Linked DNA regions of Drosophila melanogaster. The gene in region 1 interacts genetically with each later gene. Each region holds a gene or a part of one and is shown on either strand. Other genes may lie near its edges.

Region 1 (7,834 bases):
CGAAGCCGCGAGAGCGCTTCGTCTTGGGATCCTTCATCACCACCACGTCGACAATGTTGCCCCACTTCTCGAAGTGAGCCTTCAGGCCATCATCTGTGGTGCGGTAGTCCAGTCCGCCGATGAACAGTTTGCGCAGCTGCTCTGGCTCGGTGATCTGCGGGTGAATTTCAAATGCATTAGCTAAAGACGTTCTATAATTTAAATAATTTCTAAAAACAAAAAAAAAACCCATTGATTCGAAAATAAGTTGTAATATTAAATTAAATTAATTGATTTCTTTGGACAAACTTTGCGAAAAATGTATAAATTTATATAATAAAAAAAAAAATCATACTGTATCTAAATGAATAAATGTATAAAAAATATTTAAATGTATAATAAGTTGCTGTAAATTTAATAAAAAAATAAGTTGCTGTCAATAAGTCAATAAGTTTATGTCAATAAAACGATAAAAGTGCAAAATCATCCTTGATCAACAAGGATTTGCCATTGTTTATAATAGTAATTTACCTGGCGAGAAAAAGCCGCTCGCCATATTTTTTTTTTTTTTTTTTAGTATTTGCACCGCCATGACAGCCCGTATATGTGTATGTATGTATGAATTTTCGTTTTCTTTTTTATCAAACAGCCGGCAACTTTTTTATCGGAAATTGCTTATATTTCTCGCCAAAAGAGGTCGATAAACTTTTAGCTGGCTAAATTCGCACAGGGATCGATGGCCCCCATAATTCGGTAAAAAAGCGGCGTGAATGTATATTATACACGAATATTGTCGGCGTCGACATTTTGCACTTTCACGCGCGATGAACGATTTACAAACAGCAATTGGTCATTCTGCAACTCACCTCTTCACCATCGTCGTAGTTTCCGTTGGAATCGTTTTGTTCCGCCATTCTCTCCTTGGTTGTTCAAGAAGATGGAAAGTTTAAACACCGAACGCAGGAAATATTTTTTTTGTTTTTGTTCTTTTTTGACGGCAGACTGGCAATAAATGAAATGTACAGCACGCACAATGAGAATGGAGTGAGCAGTATGACCAGGTGTCGAGAACGGGGTAAAGTCGGAAAATCGGACGCCACGTGGAATCGGAACGATTGTTTCGGTGCGTTAGGGGTGTTCCTCGACAATTAAGCTGATGCCACACTTGATTTTATATATCTTCATATAAATTTGTATTCGTCTAGTAAGGGCTTAAAAATATTAGACAAGTTTATTGTATATATTTCTGAACAAACGGATTTGAATGTATTATCTTTATAAATGGATTATGATAATTACTACCACGATAACCCAAGAAACATTTAATATGTTTAACTTTTTAGCTAAATATGTATTATTATTAATACCGCTTACATAACTCTTTCTGCGAGCATTCGCTTTAGCTGGGGCGATGGAAGGCTTCACTTTAAGAGATAACTTGTAAATTATTTTGTATTGAATTGTATATTTGTAAGTAGCCAGCTAAGGGTCAATCAATATTACAATTACGGGATCTATGAGGCATTTGGGAATAAAAAAAGACATCGTGCGAAATAAATTAATAAATCCAGAAACATTTTATGTATATCATCAAATCAGAAACGTTAAAAAATGCTAATGAGTGCTTGCTAGCAGATATCAAAATAAAAAGGTTGTTAACAGTATATTCAAATGCTACTACTAAGTATATTTAATGTTTATTCTTTTCATAGCGGAACACGAACAGCAACTGGAATACCCTTAACGCAGCGAAACGCATTGCCCGCCCAAAATATCGATAGGCGAAAAAGTATCGTTCCATTCCGCCTTTGGAATGACTGTCAAACATCGCTTTCGTCTGTCACTTTCACTTCCGTTTGTGTCGAGTCGCTTGCGTTTTTTCGTGTGGGAAAGCCTGAAAAAGAGAGAGTACGGCAGCGACTTAATTGTAAATTTGCCACAAATATCCTTCACTGAACGGTACGTGCTAGTGAGTACGCTTAAGTGAAGAACAGCGCGTATTTCGCGTTGTTAAATTAACTCGTTTTTGCAGCGGTTCTGTACACCCGGTACATTGCGAGCGTGTGTGTGTGTATGTGGTGGCCGCCATCTTGGCGAAACATACACGGCGCGTACATATGTGCGTTTTTTTTTTCTTCCATTCCTAAAGGACAGTCGAGCAAAATAGAAGCTGCAAACTGCAACGGTTCCCTTGCTGATATATATATATATACTTCACTATTTTATAGCACCTGCTCCAGATACGTAAGGAACCGTTATCATGGTGGGATCTCGAGTGTATGTGGGCGGTCTGCCCTACGGAGTGCGCGAGCGCGATTTGGAGCGCTTTTTCAAAGGCTACGGCCGCACACGCGACATCCTCATCAAAAATGGCTACGGCTTTGTGGTGAGTACAAAATATCATATTTAACTGGAATATGTAAAAAAAAAAAATCGGTTAAATTTGATTTGAAGACATTTCTGCATTTCTCTGTTTGTCTATAGGTTTCCTAACATTTCAAGCCGACCCTTGAATACTTTTTTTTTCTTTTTGAACCTATATTTGTTCCATCATTTGTCTGTCAAATACAGTGACGCTTAAAAACTGTTCTTAAATTCACCCAGCGTATTTCCATAAGAGTATGCACAGGCAGGGTAGCTTCAATACTAATTCCATAATCAATACTAATCACTAATTGAATTTTCAGGAATTCGAAGACTATCGTGATGCCGACGATGCCGTCTATGAACTGAATGGCAAAGAGCTGCTTGGCGAACGGTGAGTTGTTAGATATAAGCCAAAGTACGAAATGACTCACGATTGTATGTTCTATATTTTTGCAGTGTGGTTGTTGAACCCGCCAGGGGTACCGCTCGTGGCAGCAACCGCGACCGCTACGACGATCGATATGGTGGTCGGCGGGGGGGCGGGGGCGGTCGTTACAACGAAAAGTAAGTAGTACTGCCAGCGGACCTTAAAACCGGACCAAAGTAGCGACGATATCGTCCTCCAACTTTGTTTGCGTTGAAGTTTGCCCTAGAATTAGCACTGCCAATTTGTTTCGTTTGATATCTCCATCCACACAGATGCAACCAGCTTAGATCGTGCAAAATCTATATACCTATAATATTAGCTACTTGCGATATATATAAAAAACATCAGTTTATTATATATTGACTTCTATAGTTTTATACACTTTTGGTAGTGCAATCGTATAAGCTGATTTCTTCTGCGTGGAAGGGAACCAAAAGACACTGACTTGCTGTTAATATTATCATTTCCAAGACGCTCCGTTTTCCTATGCATACTATTGTTGCTTTTATTTGCACGTTCCACCCATCCGCATAGTATGTAAAATGTTTGATTTGTTGCGCATAACCCAAATGTAAATATGCATATGCTGGAATATATTCACCATTACCGTTAATTTTTGTGATGGAGCATCAGGAGCAGCAGCGCAGTGTCAATACTAATTAGCGAATCCATTCAATTATTCACCAGAAACAAAAATTCCAGATCATCCTCTCGTTATGGCCCACCGTTGCGCACTGAGTACCGACTGATTGTGGAGAATTTGTCTAGCCGCGTTAGCTGGCAGGTAAGTGAGCATGGATCGATGTATCGCGCCTTGGGCGTGGTATATACTGTAGCTTAGATTCGAGGAGTGTAGTACTAGAATTAAAACGGCTAACCGACTGAAATGGATCACTATTACAAACACCCATTAATCAACTTACCCATCCCAGAACCAACCTTTTCGAGCCCCTTTTTGATTTCGAATTACTTTCCGGTGTCTTCGTCCTGTTTTGTGTTTTAACTCCTCCTCCACTCTGACTAGAGCCAATTCTATAATCTGTAATCTAGCCCTAAGCTGTACAGTTGACCTAGACTTAAGTGAAACACGAAAACAAAAGATATTGCTAAAACCCTGGTACTGATCGGTGTAATCTACCCACCATTACTTTCTCTTGCACACACCAACCGAAACCGATAATAAAAAGAGTTTGATGTGCTTTGACTGAGAGATTCCCTCCTCGGCTTGGGGCCGAATCTAAAACTGAAAGAGAATCAAATCTAATTGAATCGCTGTGAGAAAGACAAGCTAGTCTAGTGACCGACCGACCGGTTCAGAATGTTACCCAAAAACCAAGATGCGGTGGAAGACAGAGTGAGACAGTACCCAGAGCCGCCCCAGATTGGTTTCGATATGCGAACTACGATCTGCAACCTACGACCGACCTCCACGAAGCGCCATCGCCGCCGCCTCATCCATTCGTCGTCTATTCCAAATAAAACATAATATAGAACACATAACGAAATGAACAAGTCGATCAGAATCGAACCCAAAACTGAATGCAAAATCGAAATCAGAAAGCAGACGATGACGATGGACGTTGATGAGCTGCCCGGGTCAAAAGGCCAGCCCACGTATTAAAGCCCACACTGATTGAAAAGACGTGGGCTGGCCTCTTGCGTTAGGTATTTAACTCTCTGCTAAAAACATTCACAATTTTAATTACCAACAATATTATATAAAGAATTGTCAAATTCCTTATAGCCATTGTGAGTGTGATGAGGGTGCGAATCGAATCAATCGAGTGTGGTTAGATGAGAAGCTTGCGTTCGCTAATTCTAAGATGATGTGATGGTCTTGGCGACGATGAGGGATGAGCATATGACGATGATCGATCGATGACGATGACACGATGCTGCGATGCTGGTCGCGCGTTCAGTTACCAACTTCGGCTAGTGCCTCCGAACTTATTCCTTCCCCCCATTCCCGGTTCTTCTGGCTTCCGGCTGCGGCTCTGGCTTATGGCTGCGGCTCCGGCAAACGGCATACGGCTACCTGCCCCGTCTCCGGCTGAGACTACCGACTAGACAACCACCAACCCAACCCGTTGGAGAAGCGAGAGCAGCGTCCCGAAACGTATTTCTTATTTTTGCAGTTCGTTTGTGCGTGAGGTGCCGATGCCGCTGGTTGTTGTCCGCCTCTGACCGGCAAACTGCTCCAAATGCTCCATTCTCTGGCTCTCTGGTGCGGTGGTTCTGGCCAGCGATGTCTGCTCTGATCTGATCTGACCTCCTCCTGACTGTATCCGGTGTGTGGCTTCCTCCGAAACGAAACGAAAACAGCTACCGCAACACTTGAATACCTTTTTGCCATTTATAATATGATTCTGTTGTACATGAAAAACATAACAAAACTGTGTACTTGGTGGTACGTACGTGGCCAAATGAAAACGAATACCAAATCCAAACAAACAAAACGTAACGAGCTCTGGCCATCCATCCGCTCATCCGCCTGCCTGGCCACTGGTTCTCTTCTGGCTGACTGGTTGAGTTAACGATGTTCGATCGGACTTTCGATGAGGTCATGAGGTGTCCTTGGTGTCATTGGCCCACAGTTACTAGGCAGACAATCTAAACTCTCGGTGTAGAAACGATGTGTGTGTCCTCCTCTCTCTGAAAGCGCATTAAGTAAGAATTCAATTACAACTATTTTGTTAACTTTAATTTATTTCCAAACCAAATCAACTCAATCTATATATATATATATATATCTACTATCAATTGCCAACCACTGTTAACTATGATTGTTTACGCTTAAGTTTTGTGCCGCGTGCAGCGTGGAGTGTTTGAATGTTGTGTTCGGTACGTTCTGGGCACCTCCTCCTTCTTTTTTCCTGGCCAAGCGAAATCCTTCGTCCGGAGTGAGGTTCTCGGTTTCCACACGTAGGCAGGCGCGACAAGAGCACAGGATAGACGAACACAGGGCACTGAGTGAGAGAGAGAGAGGGACTTGTGAGAGGCTGGGACTTGGTTAGGAGCCCCAAATAATACCGAAAACATTCAAAATGCTCCATCTGCTGCACGGGCTGTCCTTTGAGTTGCAACCACTGCCGTCGGATGTGCGATGTCGAAATGTGCGAGACATCTGCCAAAGCTGAAACTTACTAATTACTATCTTTTCGTTCCGACTTTGTGCGTCCCTGCAGGATCTCAAGGATTACATGCGCCAGGCTGGCGAGGTCACCTATGCCGATGCCCACAAGCAGCGTCGCAATGAGGGGTATGTTTGAAAATGGTTGAAATTATTTTACATACAACCAACTACAATTGTGTTCCTTTGCAGCGTGGTTGAGTTCGCCTCGTTGTCGGACATGAAGACGGCCATTGAGAAGTTGGATGACACCGAGCTAAACGGCAGGCGGATCCACTTGGTCGAGGATCGTCGCGGAGGACGCAGCGGTGGTGGCGGCGGCAGCGGACGTGGACGCTCCCGTTCGTCCAGCTCCCGATCGCGCTCCCGATCCCGCAGGCGTTCTCGCTCTCGCCGCTCGTCGCACTCGCGCTCCAAGTCTCGCAGCCGCTCCAAATCTCGTGGCGGACGCTCCAAGTCCAAGTCGCCAGTCAAGTCTCGTTCTCGCTCCCGCTCGCGATCCAAGTAAGTAGAGAGAGAATAAAGTCTGGTAGGGATCGTACTTAATCACAAATTCTTTGTGATATATGCTTTAATATTAATATTATATAGATTTTACACGATAGAAAATATTAATTACGATCCTCCCTGGCTTTTTACTTCATATGATTGCCCACTAATTAATTACTTCACTACTTCCGCTGCAGCAAATCGCGTGACGTGTCCAAGTCCAAGTCAAAGTCCCACTCCCGCACCCGCTCCCGTTCGCCCAAACGTGAGCGTGACTCCCGTTCCCGATCGCGGTCCGTCTCGAAGCGCGAGTCCCGTTCCCGCTCACGTTCCAAGTCCATCCACCGCGACTCCCGTTCACGGTAAGTTTGGCCACAGTGCGATGACCATGGCTCCATATTATTATAGACCGTTCACGATTCTTTCTTTCGTGCTTTCTTTGGTTTTGTTTGGATGCACCTGTTTGTAGCCCGCCAACGGTGGTCGTTCAAAAGCTCGTTCTATAGTTCACTACAATGCCTTTCTTTTGCAGCGATCGATCCGCATCGGCTGAAAACAAGTCGCGTTCGCGCTCACGCTCCCGTTCGGCCTCGCCCAAAAATGGAAACGCCTCACCGGACCGCAATAACGAGAGCATGGACGATTAGATTAGTTAGCTGTCCCATTAATATTAAAACACTTGATTTTAGACTTCTACTATAACTATTCTACAAACATCAACACTCAGACACCCCGACTACAACCAAAACTTAATGAATATGAAATCATACCAATCCACCACTGTCGGGCCTCGTCATTTTCTTTTAAATATATAACGACAATTTGTCCTAAGTCTTGTTGTGGACATGGGACATTGGCTGGAAGATGACAGGGATCGGCTGAATGTGCCGATTTGGATTCAAGGAGTACATATAGGCCACGAAATTACTGCGACTTGTACACCGGAACACTTAAAATTGTCTATACAATGAGTAATTTCAATAAATACGGATAAATTTAAACTATAAATGTTTGCTCGCTGGTTTCACTTCAAAAAGGATATAAAGTACTTCGACGATTTTAATCATATAAAGTTAGTTTATTGTTTTTCTTTTTTGTTGTCGTAATTTCGGAATATAAGTATATTACAAAGTCTTAGTTTCACTATTTCGCATTATTTGCCTGAATTAAAATTACAATTTCATTTGATTTTATTTATCTTGAATTTGAAGAACGCCAATGATAATTTTGACACCTCATTGGCTGAAATATATCCTAGTTAAATATTTAAAATTTGAAAATGAATTAGCAATCTAAAATCAAATGCATAACTAAGTTTTATAAACTGACAAAGTTTTGGTTCTAACAATATATATCGTTTGTGTTTTGCTTTTAAAGTAATTACTTGTACGAATTAAGTACACTATTATATACAAAGCACATAGGGATAAAAGAGATTTTTT
Region 2 (5,037 bases), 8.0 Mb from region 1:
CTGCCACTACTCTGCTCTCACGTTCTCCGTGTTAATTTCGAATTAGTATAGCAACAATAACCGGCCGCAAGGTGTAGTGAAGATTGTTAAATTAACGGATCTTTACTCTTTATAACTTAAATTTAGTCTGCCCCCGAATAATAAATATGCCCAATTGCAGACATGAAATCTCAATTCACTAATTAATAAAATATTAGCTAAAATCCCAATTCGAATGCAACTAATGGCTGGTATTTAATTTGCAGCCATAACTGTATTCCTCTGGCATGCCAATTTACCGTTATTAATTATGAAGATCATGCATTTACATGGCTATTAATTATATACGTTGTTATGTATGCAGACTCACGCACACACAGGCATAAGCACAAGCACACGAAAACATACATATGTATGTACATGCATGCTCACTAACACCCACACAGATACCAAGAGCTAATAAAAAGTTTCGCTTTCTTTTTGCACATCATTTTGCATGCGCAGTAAAAAGGCAGGGACAAGTGAAATAAATACAAATAAATAATGTGCGAGTGTGCAAGGTGTTAAGCAACAACAATTGCAATAGAGGGAAAAAAGTGAATCAAAAGCCAGAAAAAGAGGAAGAACACGAATTTTGTGTATTAAGCGGCAGTCCAGAGAGAGAAAGAGAGAGTCTCCCACGGTGTGTGTGTGTGTTGGAGGGGGATGCTGCTAGGGAAAAGAGACTGAGAGTAAAAGCCGGCCTGAATCCGAATAACAGCTGTTACTCACAGACACAATCCACATGGAACATCTCTCTTCATCTTTTTGTTGTTGTTGGTCCCATGGATGCTTTTTTCTAGCCGGTTTTATTTTCTCTATCATCTTTATTTCATTTGGTCAATTACACACACTTGGCTTCTTTCTTATGAACCGCAAGGACCGAGACAGAAGGCAGCCACTTAATTGCACACTTACAGAAATGAAATAAGGTAATAGTAATATAAAATAAAACGGCTGTAAGCCTCGCCTTAGCTTTTTTCGTTTGAGAAAGCCAAAAATAATTGCCAACTGGCCAAGTCAAGAAAAAGAGAACGAGTAAAAGAGAAGGCGGCTTTTTGTCCAGGGAGAGGCGCACAAAATGCGTCGCAAAATATTTCGCCCACAGAAAACTGCAAACATAATGAAAGCCCGGGAAAGGAAAAATTATTGCGTGGGTGTGGAATATCAATGCCGGCAAGGAAAGCAGAATGAATTCCAGGGAAGTCCCCTTTGCGTTTCATACACCAAAATTTTGTACATAATGTACAAAACTTCATTTCGCCTGGCCATTTACGCGATGACGCATTTAGAGCCAATCGAATATTGTGTACTCACAAGGCCTGATAACAGGGGCCACACATAATGTACACACTATGTGGTGCAGTCGTCAAGTACATGCACAGATTAAAGCGGAAAACTGTTGATGCAAGTCCAATTAACCCGACGAAACTGGTAGAAGTAACCGGCAAATTCAAGACCACAGAAAATATTAAAGAGACAAATGATCTGAGATTTTAAAACATTTAGATCACTTTAATTTGTAAAACAAACACATTACCTAATTATTACATGTCTATTGAACATTTCAGTTGATATTTATGACTGCAGTGCAGCTTTAATTTTGCATTCCTCAGTATCCACGTCAACACAAAAACGCCAGTTAGTTGGCTAATATTGTGCTGGACGGTTTTACACAATTAATTTTAACTTGAAATGTATTTTTGTCCATATCTTCGAAGAAAAACCACGAGTTCTTCAAACTGTTACCTGCACTGTTGTCTTAACATCTAGTAAAATGTTAATCTGGGGGGCGCCATAAAGAAATCGCCGCCGACTTTGGGCAAATAGAAATAAAAACTGATGGACTCCGAATTTTCGATTCGTTATCTCTGAAAACTGGAGCGTTGGGGGATTGAATGAGTGAGCGAATGACTGCTATTCACCGTATCGGTTTTGGAGGTTATTAGAGGGCTTAGCCCAAAATTGAATGATTAATTGATCATCAAAGGTGAGGTGGAAACTCCCTTTGCTTCTTTTTTTTTGTCTTGTTTGAATACGCACCTAAAAATGGAATTTTTGTTGGTTTTACTTGCTTTCTATATATCACACGCAACCACAACAAATTGCTCTGCTTTTTTTTCCACCGCCGCCTGCTTCTTCTTGCTCTTTTTGAATATCACACACGTTTCATATTTGCAAATTTTTCATTTTTTTGCGGGCGTTTTGCCTTTTCTGTCGGTTACTTTTTGTATTCCACGTATAATGTGCTGCTGCTTCTTACTCGTTTGACTCAGTCTGTGTGTGTGCGAGTGTGAGTACGTCGGTGGTGTGGGAACTTTTAACTTTACTACGCGACGTTTTCGTTTCTCTTCTTTATTCTCTATATATTCTACGATTCTGTGCGTGACGTCAGCAGTTCGAGCATTTGTTGTAGATATCACATAATTGTTACACGCCCGCACTTTTATTTTATTTTATTCTTGATTTTTTAGAGCATTTGCTATTGCTACTCAGCGACTTGAATCTTTTACTTGCAGAGGCAGTCTTTTGCGGCTTTTTGGTTTTTCTCTCAGTTTTCCATTTTCACATTTTTGCGGACTGGCGACGAAAAGCGAACTGAACTTGGGCCACAAAGTGTGTTGTGCCGTGTCTTTTTTGGAGTCGCCGTCGCCGGCAAAACGCAATCCACACGCGGAGAAAGAGAATCGGAGAGACACGAGATAGAGAGAGAGAGCGAGAGAGGGAGTCGTCTTACGTCAGACGGAGAAAACGTAAGCACCACCGTAATGGCACTTTTAATACCGGCCACTTACGCTTAATTAGTGTATTAAACCACATTAACTTATCAATACCTCAGTCTTGTACTCTTTTCAGTTAGCTTTTCTATTTTTTTTCGGATTTTTCCGTCGATTTTCCCCTCGTAACGTGTTTTCTGCTCGCACATGTGTGTGGGGGCGGCAGCGGCAACAGCAGCGTCACGACGCGACAACAACACTGAACGCGGCGAATCGACAGAACAAGCAACGAGCCACAAAACGCACGGCGTCTCTTGTAGCGGCGAATTTGAGGCGTCAGCAGCTGAGCGCTCGCGGCACGAGAGAGTGAGAGCAGAAGAGAGTGGATCGTAAATTGAGTGGAGACAAAACTGATCAAACGATAGCTATTCGATATTACGATAGGTTGTCAATTCAAAAGGGAACGAATATTTTGGGTTATTAATATTTTGCAATGAATAAATACATTTGAGTGTTAAAAGAAAAATATAATTATTTATAAGCGAAGTTAAATACCTATAACAGCGCTGTTAATCACTTCCTGAATTGTTTTTTAAATGCTACATTATTTTACCTAATATCAGCTTTTAATTAAATCTTTGGTCCAAGTTTTATTTGAAGTTTTTAATTTTAAAATTCTGTTGATATAAAAACTAATGCTTGAAGCTAAGAGAACCACGCTAATTGCAGCGAATTAGCGGCAACAGCTGAGCACGAGAGAGAACGAATGTGGAGAAGGGGGCGGAAAGCGAAAGCGCAAGAGGGTGGAATGTGAGTGGCGCCGCTTCCTACTCTTCACATGTGGCATGTGGAAGCCAGACTCGAATGTTCGGTGAGAGCGGCTTTTGCTTTTGGCCCCCAACCCTTTTCGCTCTCTTCGGCTTGCCGGCTACAAATCGGCTAAAAATCGCTCAGACGGAAGTGGCGACGTCGCTGTTACCGCACCCACATCAACAGCGACGCCGGCAGAGAACCTTTCCCCTCCCGCTCAACCAACCGCTTCACCATCTTCTTTATCTTTATCAGTTGTGTGCCAAGTGTTGCATTGCGTTGCAGTGACGACATTGTTGTAGTTGCAGCAGCACAGCAGCGTTGCCGATTTTCAGCGCCCCATCAACAAGGGGTACACTTTTTAAGGCCGGAAATAGGCATTAAATGGGTCTATCGCATAACTCGACACTGTCGCACACAAATCTATTAATTTCTACGTATCATAAAAATTATGCCTGAGATTAAAGCCAAGTATGCTCATCTCACAGCTCACAGCTTAATCATATAATATACCTTAAAGATTTGCAACTTTATAGAGAAAAGTTAGTATTTAATTAAGTAAATACTAACTGAAGTGTAAAAATTCACCTATTTGCTGAGCAACTGACCTGATTAAAGAAACCTGCTCAAACATTTGACTTTCCATTCTTATATTATTTGTTATTCCACTATTAATCTACTTTAGTGCAAAAGCACTTTCTACTAAACAAACAATACTCATACATTCTGGAATAATGCAAAGTTTGTACTCATAAATATCCCAAAATCGCTACCATGTCACTTTTTCTAACAACAATCTGATTAAATATTTACAACTCATGCCCGCTGCCATTTGCATTCCTGGTTTTGTGTGCACAAATGTATCTCGCAAATCAGTACAACTTGCCAGGCGATCTGCGCAGTGTTTCCCATTCCCATAATCCCAAGCCCAGTAACTGAGAAACATCCCCCCCCCCTCCTACCAGAAATGTAATCTCCTTTCCAGTTTTCGATTTCTATTAACTTTTTAGGCAGTTTTTTTTTTTGGATTCGAGGCTGTTATCCTTTGGGTTTCTCTTGGGTGGGTTGCTGAGGCGAGGACACTCACAGATCCGTGAGTGTGATTTTTTTCACATTTCCCATAAGCCAGACCGGCAGACAAGAAGAAGAAGAAGAAGAATGAGAATACGAATATGAAGAAGAGGGGCGAGAATCACCCCTCACGGACGCAGAAAGAGAGGAAGAACTTTGGCCCCTGCGCCTGCCCCTTCCCCCTTCCCATCCCTTGCCCAACACATATGCAATTAGAGTATCTCTATGCTTGATTTTTTTTCAACCATTTTCTGCAAGATGGTTTTTTTTTTTCGCCTACCAGATAGAAGAGCGCAAGCGGGAACTTCCCACGATCCTTGGGTGGACTTTTGTACTTTGGAAGACATTTTATGTGCGCAGTGTCATAAATACTTTTAATTAACTGGAAATGCGTGTGCGAGTGCTGGCTTCTTTTTTTTCC

What was found. A genetic interaction does not mean that the proteins touch.
Region 2: of B52 (region 1) and E2f1, changing one suppresses a phenotype caused by changing the other (phenotypic suppression), as found in Drosophila melanogaster (one study listed by BioGRID).

Annotation. Positions count from the first base shown.
Region 1 is NT_033777.3:13,659,495-13,667,328, forward strand, and holds B52 (B52), read left to right. Parts: upstream 1-1,816; 5' UTR 1,817-1,948; exon of another isoform or gene 1,949-2,207; 5' UTR 2,208-2,239; coding exon 2,240-2,365; intron 2,366-2,666; coding exon 2,667-2,737; intron 2,738-2,802; coding exon 2,803-2,910; intron 2,911-3,460; coding exon 3,461-3,557; coding exon of another isoform or gene 3,558-3,614; exon of another isoform or gene 3,615-3,960; coding exon of another isoform or gene 3,961-3,981; exon of another isoform or gene 3,982-5,958; coding exon 5,959-6,032; intron 6,033-6,095; coding exon 6,096-6,407; intron 6,408-6,589; coding exon 6,590-6,754; intron 6,755-6,861; coding exon of another isoform or gene 6,862-6,898; exon of another isoform or gene 6,899-6,924; coding exon 6,925-7,039; 3' UTR 7,040-7,397; downstream 7,398-7,834. Other genes in the region: Hrb87F (heterogeneous nuclear ribonucleoprotein at 87F), read right to left, coding at 1-154, 846-893. UniProt on the Drosophila melanogaster protein: Essential for development. May have a critical role in splicing or in controlling alternative splice site use of at least some pre-mRNA in vivo. Not required for all splicing. May play a general role in the condensation or decondensation of chromatin.
Region 2 is NT_033777.3:21,630,072-21,635,108, forward strand, and holds the start of E2f1 (E2F transcription factor 1), read right to left. Parts: upstream 3,003-5,037; 5' UTR 2,853-3,002; exon of another isoform or gene 2,062-2,852; intron 1-2,061. UniProt on the Drosophila melanogaster protein: Transcriptional activator that binds to E2f sites. Required for wild-type growth in mitotic and polytene tissues, Contributes to the expression of replication genes at the G1-S transition and Cyclin E.